Linked DNA regions of Cricetulus griseus. The protein of the gene in region 1 binds, or shares a complex with, the protein of each later gene. Links are inferred from orthologs where the notes say so. Each region holds a gene or a part of one and is shown in the gene's direction. Other genes may lie near its edges.

Region 1 (3,409 bases):
CAACATGGGTGGAGACCCTGTCACTGTCATTGAGGAGATCCGAAACCTGCTGGACATTGGCAGGGATCGCAAAAATCCCCGGGAAGATTATTTGGGTGAGTGACCTGGCTGGGATCCAGCACTCTCACTCCTCAGGACGTGGGCCCTCACCCTTTCTTTGTCTGCCTCAGATGTGTATGTGTTTGGGGTCGGGCCTCTGGTGGACTCCGCGAACATCAATGCCTTGGCTTCCAAAAAGGACAACGAGCAGCATGTGTTCAAAGTCAAGGACATGGAGAGCCTGGAGGACGTTTTCTACCAGATGATTGGTAGGAAGATGCAGACGCAGGTCACTGACTCCCCTCACCCTGAAGCCCTGGCAGACTGGCTCCCCCAATCCTTTCCTCCCGCTCACCCCAGTGTCTTTCTTGTTTCCTGACGTTCTTTACTTCCTGGTCTCACAATCATTAAACTCTAAGAGTTCATTTGAACAGATGTGGAAACTGAGGCCAAGACAGGCTCAGAGGAAAGAAGGCAGCACCCAGACTGGGTCTACAGTGCTCAATCCTCAGATAGACTGGTCTTACTGGCTTTTCTCACTACGCCACAGGGGTTCCCCATCTAACACAGGGAACCACTCTTCTTCCTCCTTGTTGGAGGAAGGATCCAACGAGGATGGCTGCCAAGACTTGAGCCTTCAACATTCTTTCTCTGCCAGATGAAACCAAATCTCTGGGTCTCTGCGGCATGGTGTGGGAACACAAGAAAGGCACGGACTACCACAAGCAGCCATGGCAGGCCAAGATCTCAGTCACTGTGAGCATCCCAGCAGTGGGGACTTGTGGAGGGCGATGAAATAAATGTACACACTAGCCAGGTCTGTAGTCCCAGCTGTTCAGAAGTTGAGGCAGGGCAGAGATTCACAGCCCGCTTGGGCTATAGTGAGTTCAGGGTCGGCACCAATAACTTATGAAACTGAAATGGAAAAAGGAAGCTGGGGGAGGGGGCATGTACGGTCGGTACCCCCAGCTGCTGGAAGTTTGTGGTCAGCCAGGGCTACACAGCAAGGCAGGCAGAAACAGAGAGGGGGGAGGGCTATGGAGTGCTGTCGTAGCATGTATGGAGCCAACCTCCAGTAGTGTGCACACACACACCCACCCACCCCAAGGCTAACACGACACTGGTTCTCCTCCAGCGCCCACTGAAAGGCCACGAGAACTGCATGGGGGCCGTGGTGTCTGAGTACTTTGTGCTGACGGCAGCACACTGCTTCACAGTGGAAGATCAGAAACACTCCATCAAGGTCAACGTAGGTAAGGGTGCATCTCATCTCCAGGAAGCACCCTGTGCCTGACCTGTCCTTACACCCAAGGTCGGGGACCACAGAACTCAAGTGGTGACAGGGGCTAGAGCCAGCAGGCTGCTTATGTACATAAACCCATACAGGAGGGAAGAAGCAGGACCTGGAGATCGAAGAGGTCCTGTTTCACCCCAATTACAACATCAATGAGAAGAAGGCACAAGGAATCCCTGAGTTCTATGACTACGATGTGGCCCTCATCAAGCTCAAGACCAAGCTGAAGTATGACCAGACTCTCAGGTGAGTAGGGCCAGGTCCCTGAGGAGCTGGGGAAGGCGGGCTGGAAGCACAGGGCACTGGGCACAGGGCAGGCAGGGTATCTGCTGCCTGACTGTCCCCATCTCCTCAACAGGCCCATCTGTCTCCCCTGCACGGAGGGAACCACCCGAGCCTTACGGCTTCCTCAGACAGCCACTTGCAAGCAGCACAGTAAGGCGTGGTCTGGGGCAGGACGAGGCTGAGAGCCAAGACACAGGGGTCACAGAGGGAGTAGACTATGCTCAACACAGGGCCTAGCTCTTAAGAAGGGCCCAAGAGACAGATGATGGATGAGACATGAGAGACATGATGGGTGGGGAGACAGCATGACCCTGTCACTCATCCAGAGGAGGAGTTGCTCCCCGTGAAGGACGTCAAAGCTCTGTTCGTGTCTGAAGAAGGGAGGAAGCTGACTCGGAAGGAGGTCTACATCAAGAATGGGGACAAGGTGAGAAGGGGCTCCTAGAGAGGCCACCTAGGCCTGCTCCCTCCCAAGCAAGCTCTAGTCATCATACCCTTTCTCCCCTACAGAAAGCCAGCTGTGAGAGAGATGCTCTGAGGGCACAAGGCTATGACAAGGTCAAGGATGTGTCTGAGGTGGTCACCCCCAGGTTCCTCTGCACTGGCGGGGTGGACCCCTATGCTGACCCCAATACTTGCAAAGGTGAGGTGGCTCTCTGGCTATGGTGAAGCCCACAGGGCCCAGCCGTCTTTCCCTACAGCTTCTCTCTTCCACAGGAGATTCTGGGGGTCCTCTCATTGTTCACAAGAGGAGCCGCTTTATTCAAGTGAGTCTGTGGGGGAGACGCCCAGGGGCCACATATACCACAAAAAGGAACGCTTGATGCACGTGGCTGACTATAAGCCAAGCATCTGGCCTATGTGCACCAAGGAAGACAGTGCGAGCTGGGCCCCTGGTGTACTGTTTTGGGTCAGCTTGGCTGCTTTATGGGATTATGAAGTGTCAAGTGACCCATGGCACCCTTCACCTGCACAGGTCGGTGTCATCAGCTGGGGCGTAGTGGATGTCTGTAAAGGGCAGAGGCGGCAACAGATGGTACCTGCTCATGCCCGGGACTTCCATGTCAACCTTTTCCAGGTGCTCCCCTGGCTCAAGGAGAAACTCAAAGATGAGGATTTGGGTTTCCTATGAGGGGCTTCCGGCTGGGAGGGGCGAGGGTCAAATTAAAACAGCTGCGATAAGGACTGTATTCTTCATCTTTTGGGGGTAAGGGGTCAGGGGGTGTGCACTGGTCATGTTGCTACAAGTAACATCAACACTGACAGCCACTTTTGAAGGTTTAACCCCGATCCCAAGTGTTGAAAGACTAGAGGCTGAAGGGGGTGAGGGAACTTCTGCCCCAGGATTTTACTGAGACCAGCTTGGGGGCATACGAGGCACAAGGAATCCAGCTTCGTGTCCTAAAAGCCATCCACAGGTTTCCTACAGATCGTCACTGTACACAATCTGGGTCCTTTTGTCCCGGTGGCAGCCCTTAGGGCTGTTCTGGACAGCTGAGGAGGGAGGAAAGGGACAATTAAGATGTCAAGCAGCTCACAGGTTAGACCTGAGGTCTGAGTCTGATTATCTCCGCCCTGGCCTTGGCCTACCAGTGCTTATGCTGCCCCCTGGTGGCCAGAGTCTCACTATGGCTTAGAGAACGCAGAACCTTGTTACTGTGCGTGAGACATGTGAATGATGAAATCATGAAATACATGAAATTAAAGATGAGAACATCTCTGTGGCCCTTGCCGGTATCCTGGTCGATTCTGGTTCCTTCCTGGTGTCTGCAGGGCCTCTTGCTCTGAAAA
Region 2 (4,088 bases), on another chromosome or scaffold:
GGAAGTAGCTCTTGTAGACCAGGCTGGTCTCAAACTCACAGAGATCCACCTGCCTCTGCCTCCCGAGTGCTGGGATTAAAGGTGTGTGCCACCAACCTCCCCCCTTCCCCCGGCAAGGCTTGTTTTTAAAAAATTAGAAAGTAGGGGCTAGAGAGATGGCTCATAGGTTCAGAGCTCTGGCTGCTCTTTCAGAGGTCCTGAGTTCAATTCCCAGCAACCACATGGTGCCCTCTTCTGGTGTGCAGATATACATGGAAGCAGAATGTGTATACATAATAAAAAAAACAAAATCCTTTAAAAAATTAGAAAGTGAAAAGCAGGTCTGGGGAGCTCAGATTCTCCTTGAGGAAAATGGGTTGAAGATGGATCATTCATTAACAGTGAAACAAGGCACCTGTAAAATTTTTTCTCTAACTATGACCCACCAAGAAAACTAAAGTGGGATCAAGGACCAAAATAGTGTTTCTCAAAGTTCTTCAAACCAGCATCAGTGTCTCCTAGGAGCTTGTTAGAAATGCATTAGTGGATACCCATGCCACACCCGCTGAATGAGAAATACATGGGACCCAGAAATCTGCAGTTCAGTCTCGAAGCCCTGTGAATGATTCTGGTGTGTCCTAAGGCTGGAGAGTGAGTTTTCAGTCAGTGATTTTTATCTGTTCTGTTCTCTATTCTCAGAACCACTCAGACACTCTATAAATGTGGAACAATTTAATACACACAGTCAGGCACTGTTCTAAATATTTTAATTCTCAGTCAGTTACAGATCTAACTATGTCAGGTGCTATAAATGTGCTTTACATTTTCAGAGCTGGGGATCAAACCCAAAGCTGCTTTCATGCTGGGCAAATGGCATACCACTAAGCTAAACATCCAGCCATCCCTTTGCTTGCTTGTTTCTTTTGTTTTTTTGTTTGTTTGTTTGTTTTTTGTTTTTGTTTTTGTTTAGTTTTTAGAAACAGGGTTTCTCTGTGTAGCTTTGGAGCCTATCCTGGTACTCGCTCTGGAGACCAGGCTGACCTCAAACTCACAGAGCTCTGCCTGCCTCTGTGGTTTTGGTTTTTTGACACAGGATTTCTTTGTGTAACAGTCCCGGATGTCCTGGAACTCACTTTGTAGACCAGGCTGGATTTAAAGGTGTGTGCCATCACCACCCAGCTTGCTTGTTTGTTTTTAAAATGGAATTTCACATACCTTAAACCTTGCTGTGTAGCCAACGATAGCCTTGAACTTCTGATCCTCTTGCCTCTACCTCCCAATTGCTAAGACTATACGTACCCATCATTGTGCTCAATTTGTATGACGTTAAGTAACAAACCAAAGGCTTCATCGATGCTAGGCTAGCACTCTACCAACTGAGCTACATCTCTAGCCACTCTCATCCTTTAAACATTTTACTACATTTATTTATTGGGGGGGGGGGGACACCACACACATGTGCCTCAATGCACATGTGGAGAGGTCAGAGGACAACTTAAGTGAGTCAGTTATCTCCTCCCATCATGTGTGTCCTAGCAATTTAATTCAGGACATCAGGCTTTGAAGCAAGCACTGAGCTTCACACACTGAGCAATCTCACCTCCACCCTTCCCTTCTTTAAATTTTATTTCTGAGACAGAATCTCACTAAATTAGCCAGCGTAGCCTTGAACTCACACTGTAGCCTAGGCAAGCCTTGAACTCTCATTCTGCTTGTTTCAACCTCCAAAGTAGCTAAGATTACAGTCTTGTACCTCCCAGGGCCCTGTTTGTCTGCACATTTTACAAAAAAGGAAACAGGCTTAGAGGCAAATGGTATCTTATCCTAGGTGCGCATAGAATATGCCTCAGCTGATTCTCTCTTCTCTACCCCTGTAGACCCTAAGGGTTTCTTCAGATGGCCCCCTTGGGCAATGGGTATGCCTGAAACACCTCCACCCCCACCCCACCGAACCCATTTCTGAATCACTTCCCACACAAAGCCACTTCCCTTTCTCACTTCCCTTGCACTGACCTCCCACACACATGCTGACCACAGGAACCTCACTTTTAGGAAAGAGGTGGGTTTTCAAGAAGGAAGATGAAGCAGTTGCCCTGATACCTTCTCCTTGACGGACTACTTGAGGAGGGCTACCCTCATTTCACCCTTCTCCAGTACCCCATTGAAGTTGATCCCATTACTATAGTCAAGATTGTGCATTTTACAGGGAAGAAAACAAGCCAGTCATGGTGTGACATGCCTGTTCAAGGCAATCCAGGTCTGCAAAGCAAATCTCAGGCCTGGTATGGCTACATTATAAAATCTCATCTCAAAAAAGGGGGGGGGGCAGGAAGCTAAGGCTGAGAATTTAAAGTGACTTGTCTAAGGTCACACACCTAGGTGGTTCTTGCTTCAGAATTTCAGGCTCCAGTGCCCTTCAGTGAGAATTTGTCTCATATGCATTAATTGAAAACTAAGAGGTTTCTGGGTGGAGTGGGGTATTAGGTGGCAAATATTGGGTGACAGAACAGGACCAAGGGAGACACAGGAAATGGAGAGGGGAGAGAAGTAGAGGAGGCAGAGGGCTCAAGGGAGAGGTCAGAGCTAAAGAGGTCATACCCTCCCAGTTCCTCCTGCTCTGGGTTCCTCTTTCCTGAGCAGATCAGCCCAGATTAAGGAAGGCTTACTCTGTAAGAGAGGACAAAGACAGTGCTCAAAATGCTTGCTGGAATGCAAGCTCCTCCGACGCTACTGCTGCTACTGCTTACCCTGCCAGCCACAGGTAAGTGGGTGGGGGCCCAGATGTCCTCCCAGGGATGCCCAGGACAACCACACCCTGATTGTTCATTCCTCTCTCCTGGTCTTACAGGTTCAGACCCTGTGTTCTGCTTCACCAAGTATGAAGAGTCCTCTGGGAAGTGCAAAGGCCTGCTTGGGGGAGATGTCAGCGTGGAAGACTGCTGTCTCAATGCTGCCTATGCCTTCCAGGAGCATGGTGGTGGTCCCTGTCAGGCATGCAGGTTCGGGGGGCACCTGGGCTGAGCCCTGTAATCTAGAACTGTACTCTGTTTCCCTGGACCTTCTAAGAGTACTCAAAACCTTGGCACTATTGCCATTTGGAGCTCTTTGTTAGGAATATGAGTTCTGAGCATTGTTGGGTATTTTATAACATACCTGACCTTCCCCTAAGTGTTTTTAACAACTCTCTCTACTGGTTAACAGTGGGAGTGGGGGTGTGTCTGACTCTTTTCACCTGTTCTTGAGGCCCTTTTTCTCCTACTGGGTTGCCTCGCCCTACCCTGATATGAGGGTTTGTGCCTAGTCTTATTGTATCTTGTTATGCTGTGTTTGGTTGGTATCCCTGGGAGGCCTGCTCCTTTCTGAAGGAAAACAGAGAAGGAGTGAATCTGGGCAGGAGTGGAAAGAGGGGAAACTATAGTTGGAATGTATTGTATGAGAGAAGAATTTTTTTTGTTTTGTTTTGTTTTGTTTTGTTTTTCGAGACAGGGTTTCTCTGTGAGCTTTGGAGCCTATCCTGGCACTCGCTCTGGAGACCAGGCTGGCCTCGAACTCACAGAGATCTGCCTGCCTCTGCCTCCCAAGTGCTGGGATTAAAGGTGTGCGCCACCAACGCCCGGCTGAGAGAAGAATTTTTAAAAAGGCAACCATATCTAGAAACTGCCAAATGTCCGCTGGTGGAGACCAAATCAGCCCTCATTGAAAAGTACTTCATTGAAAAGTCAGGGCTTCCTGAAAATATTGCAGATGGGGTGCAACTTGGATATTTTTGGTGGTAGCTCCATTCTCCTAACTTATAACAGATCATACTTGAGTGCTTATTGTATATAGATCTATCATAGGAATGGAGGACTTTGGGGAACTTCTAAGGGCAACACTCAAACCTTTCATTGTAATGACACATTCATTGTGCAATTCCTCTGTGGCAGTTTGATCTCTGAAAGCACCTCAAGTCTCCTAATCATGACTTCCAGTTTACATATGTTGAACCTTACTATACTGTAGATATATTTTATGACTGCTTACTCCAGGTAACACTGTAAGGATGATGGGTTTGAGTATCTTGGAAAGCAGCTCTGGCCCCAGTCATGCTAACAGTTGGTATCTCTTTT
Region 3 (3,537 bases), on another chromosome or scaffold:
AGCTGGCCTCAAACTCACAGAGATCCTCCTGTTTCTGCCTTCCAAGTGCTGGGGTTGAAAGGCCCAATCACCCAGGTGGCTTCTGATTTTATTTTATTTATTTATTTTTGTATCTTAAAAATTAATTTATTTTTTACATTTCAATCCTAGTTCCCCCTCCCTCCTCCTCTGGATCCCCCCACTTCCTCCCCACCCCACCTCCCACCTGTTCCTCAGAGAGGGGAAGGCCTCCCCTAGGAAGTCAACTAAGTCTGTCCCATCATCTCATTGAGGCAGGACCAAGGCACCTCTCCACCCCTACACCCCTGTGTCTAGGCCGAGCAAGGTGTCTCTCCATATAGAATGGGTTCCACTAAGTCAGCTTGTGCATTAGAGTTAGATCTTGGACCCACTGCCAGTGGCCTCATATATTGGCCCAGTCACACCACTGTCATCTATATTAAGGGAGTCTACTTCGGTCTTATGCAGGTTCCCCGTTTGTCAGATGGCTTCTGATTTTAATAAGGGGTTTTGACTTCCCATCTGCAACATTAGCTCACCCCCCAAATCAAGAACTCCCAAATGCTCCAACAGGGATGGTTGTGCTGTGCTCCCATGCTGCTCCCCACTCTCCTTATCCCATCCCATGGATTAGCTTATGGGGCTTGTGACCTAGGCTCAGCCAAACATTATGTTGTTTAACATGAGGATCAGATTTTACAGTGAGGGTCCCTGAACCACAATTGGGAACAGCCTGGTGAGGGGGGGAAACTGAGCCTGGATCAAGCCATACCTGAAGGCAAAATTCACAGGACATTCTTTTACATTTCCTTAGGCTACACTCTGCTGAGGTGTCAGACCCTGACAGCCACAGGGTTCAAGTGCCTACAGGCAAACAGCCTTCTCTCCAAGTTGGAGGAGGAAGTGTGGGAGGGTAAAAAGATGGGGAGATGATTGCCAACTGGCCTCCTGCTGTGGTAATTGCGACAGACACCATGCTGGAAGGACACTTACTGGGCCAGGGTGCTGGGTGCTTCAACCTCCTACCCCTCCCAAGAGGTGCCACCTTCAGGGTGGGCACTGGCCGGAGTCTCAGGCAGGAGAGAGAGGAGGTATTCCACCACCACCCCACCACCACCCCCACCCCCCTCCATGCACCCAGCGGGTTTATCTAATCCATCCCACAAGGGCCGAAACACTCAAATCTGAAAGCGCAGATTCCCAGTTCCCTAGTTGGGTCTCTGCCCACGAGGCAGGCGGAGGGCGGGAGGCACCTGCCCCATAAAATAGCCCCCTAGGAGCCGCCTGGGTCAGCGTCTGCACTCATTGGCGTCAAAAATGCACAGCTCTGTGTGGCTCGTGGCTCTAGTGGTCCTGGGAGCCGCTGTAGGTGGTGAGTGGACCAGGGAGGGACAGCTGGACACAGCCGCTGGCCGGCACACCAGGGGCCCCCTACAGCCAAACACGCTCTAAACTGAGAATCTGCAATCTGAGCCTCCTGGTCTCTGAGCTTTTATCAACAGCAAGAATCTGAATCTGAAACCTGTAGACTTTATAGACTTAAAGAACTAGAATTCACCTTGGGGCCAGTGAAAGTTTGATCCCCTGGACCCATAGAGTGGAAGAAGGGAAAGGATTCCCTGCAAGTTGCACCACCCACCTGGCTTCTGAGTTTGCAGCCCCTCGGAAGTGTATTTTACGGTGATGGGGTTCTGGTCGAGAGGTTGTGTGTGTGTCGGTGTGTCCGAGCTCTCCCAGACCACCCTAACCCTGACAGCGCGCCCTCCTCCTCAGCAGCGCAGCCCCGAGGCCGGATCCTGGGTGGCCAGGAGGCTAAGGCCCACACTTGGCCCAGCATGGCTTCGGTGCAAGTGAACGGCACACACGTGTGCGGTGGCACCCTGGTGGATGAGCAGTGGGTGCTGAGCGCCGCGCACTGCATGGACGGAGTGTGAGTAGCGAGGATGGGGGCTGAGGGGAGGGAGTGGGGCCTCGGGAAGGGGGACGTGGATCTGAGGTGGGCCCTCTTCCTGGCCCCAGGACCGGGGATGAGATTGTGCAAGTGCTCTTGGGTGCCCACTCCCTGTCGAAGTCGGAACCCTCCAAGCGGCTGTACGACGTGCAAAGAGCAGTGCGTCACCCGAGCAGCCGGCCTGACCGCATCGAGGACGACCTTCTCCTCTTGAAGGTGAGGAAGCTGGGTCCTTCCTACGCCCTGGGCTCCACTCAGAGTCTAGCCTCGACCCTTCCTTCTGCACCGCCACCTCAGTCCATTCCCCAGCCCCGCCCCGCCCCCACCACGATATTGTCCTCCTCCCACCCTTAGCTGTCCCAGAATGTGTCTCTGGGACCCTACGTGAGCCCCCTGCCCTTGCAAAGCGAGGACCGGGACGTGGCCCCTGGAACGCTCTGCGACGTAGCCGGTTGGGGCGTGGTCAGCCACGCGGGGCGCCGGCCCGACGTCCTGCAGAAGCTAACGGTGCCAATCATGGACCGGAACACCTGCAATCTGCGCGTGCATCACGACGGGGTCGTCACCCAGAACATGATTTGTACAGAGAGCAACCGCAGGGACAGCTGCAGGGTGAGTGGCACGGCCCGGGTCCTGTGGCGTGGGGGTGGAGCCCAAGGGTCTGCGGAGGTCGGCGATGGGCGTGGCTCGGGAAGGGGCGTGGCTTGCAGGAAGAGCTGCGTTCAGGAGTCCCCGGAGCTGCTTAAAAGTCAGAGTGGCTTGGCTATTGGGTGAGTATGTAACTCGTGGCCCCGCCGCACAGGGCGACTCTGGCGGCCCCCTGGTGTGCGGGAACAAGGTCGAGGGTGTGGTCGCGTGGGGCTCGCGAGTCTGCGGAAACCGCAAGAAGCCGGGCGTTTTCACCCGCTTGTCGACCTACAAAGACTGGATCGAAAATGTCATGCATGGTAACTGGACTATCTGAGGGGACCCCGAAGACACGTGTCTCACAATAAATGCATGCATCTGAGCCCTGTGTGCGTCTTTTTACTGTTTTTTCCAAGCAGGGTTTCTCTACAGCCGGAGAGCCTACTTGTCCTGGAACTCACGCTGTAGATCAGGCTAGCCTGCCTCTGCCTCCCGAGTGCCACCACCGCCCGGCCTCCCTGTGCGTCTTTATTGAGCGCCTGCTGCACACACACAGCCGGGAGGCTGAAGGCAGGTGGTTCCACGCTCGGCCACACGGAGGCGGGCGTGCTCTTTTGAGTAACGGTGGGGCGGTGCCCACTCCTACTCCACAGAGGTCCTGCTGCACCTAGGACCATCCGTCTGGGCTCGGACAGCATTGCCAAGGCACTCCGAAGTTGACATAAATACTGAAAGGGGAAATTGAGACACGGAGAAGCCACGGACAAAGGCTGAATTCCAACCCAGAGCCCATATTGGTTCACTGAGGAAGTAGTTGATGTCTGCAGCCAGCGCCACGGGGGCTGGAGAGCTTGTGGGTGACAATGGGCAGAACCCAGACCCAAATCCTGTGCCTTTCTACCCCGAGGAGGACAGGGACACTGAGAGGTGTCCTGAGAGGTGAAGTTACTCATGCCCCT

The links.
Region 2: the proteins of Cfb (region 1) and Cfp are in contact, whole or in part, in a crystal structure (PDB 7NOZ), measured with the Homo sapiens proteins. The link is inferred for Cricetulus griseus from reciprocal best matches to the Homo sapiens genes CFB and CFP. Residues at the interface, in NP_001701.2 of Homo sapiens: Glu54, Gln56, Ser78, Thr316, Tyr317, Leu349, Ser351, Met394; in NP_001138724.1 of Homo sapiens: Arg329, Arg330, Asn331, Lys333, Pro341, Met420, Val421.
Region 3: the proteins of Cfb (region 1) and Cfd are in contact, whole or in part, in a crystal structure (PDB 2XWB), measured with the Homo sapiens proteins. The link is inferred for Cricetulus griseus from reciprocal best matches to the Homo sapiens genes CFB and CFD. Residues at the interface, in NP_001701.2 of Homo sapiens: Glu298, Ala301, Ser302, Ala332, Asp333, Ile469, Asp470, Glu471, Ser472, Glu518, Tyr519, Lys585, Asp758, Glu759, Asp760; in NP_001919.2 of Homo sapiens: Asn157, His158, Ala159, Gly160, Arg161, Arg162, Arg182, Thr183, Asp186, Arg200, Val228, Cys229, Gly230, Asn231, Arg232, Lys233.

Annotation. Positions count from the first base shown.
Region 1 is NW_023276806.1:231,398,336-231,401,744, reverse strand, and holds the end of Cfb (complement factor B), read left to right. Parts: coding exon 1-95; intron 96-170; coding exon 171-308; intron 309-697; coding exon 698-795; intron 796-1,174; coding exon 1,175-1,292; intron 1,293-1,425; coding exon 1,426-1,579; intron 1,580-1,691; coding exon 1,692-1,768; intron 1,769-1,944; coding exon 1,945-2,045; intron 2,046-2,128; coding exon 2,129-2,261; intron 2,262-2,335; coding exon 2,336-2,385; intron 2,386-2,594; coding exon 2,595-2,750; 3' UTR 2,751-2,796; downstream 2,797-3,409. Other genes in the region: Nelfe (negative elongation factor E), read right to left, coding at 3,042-3,112.
Region 2 is NC_048604.1:125,778,038-125,782,125, reverse strand, and holds the start of Cfp (properdin), read left to right. Parts: upstream 1-1,210; 5' UTR 1,211-2,003; coding exon of another isoform or gene 2,004-2,038; exon of another isoform or gene 2,039-2,261; intron 2,262-2,619; coding exon of another isoform or gene 2,620-2,676; coding exon 2,677-2,740; intron 2,741-2,827; coding exon 2,828-2,978; intron 2,979-4,088. UniProt on the Homo sapiens protein: A positive regulator of the alternate pathway (AP) of complement. It binds to and stabilizes the C3- and C5-convertase enzyme complexes. Inhibits CFI-CFH mediated degradation of Complement C3 beta chain (C3b).
Region 3 is NC_048598.1:100,689,741-100,693,277, forward strand, and holds Cfd (complement factor D), read left to right. Parts: upstream 1-1,317; coding exon 1,318-1,372; intron 1,373-1,773; coding exon 1,774-1,930; intron 1,931-2,019; coding exon 2,020-2,167; intron 2,168-2,305; coding exon 2,306-2,563; intron 2,564-2,753; coding exon 2,754-2,915; 3' UTR 2,916-2,949; downstream 2,950-3,537.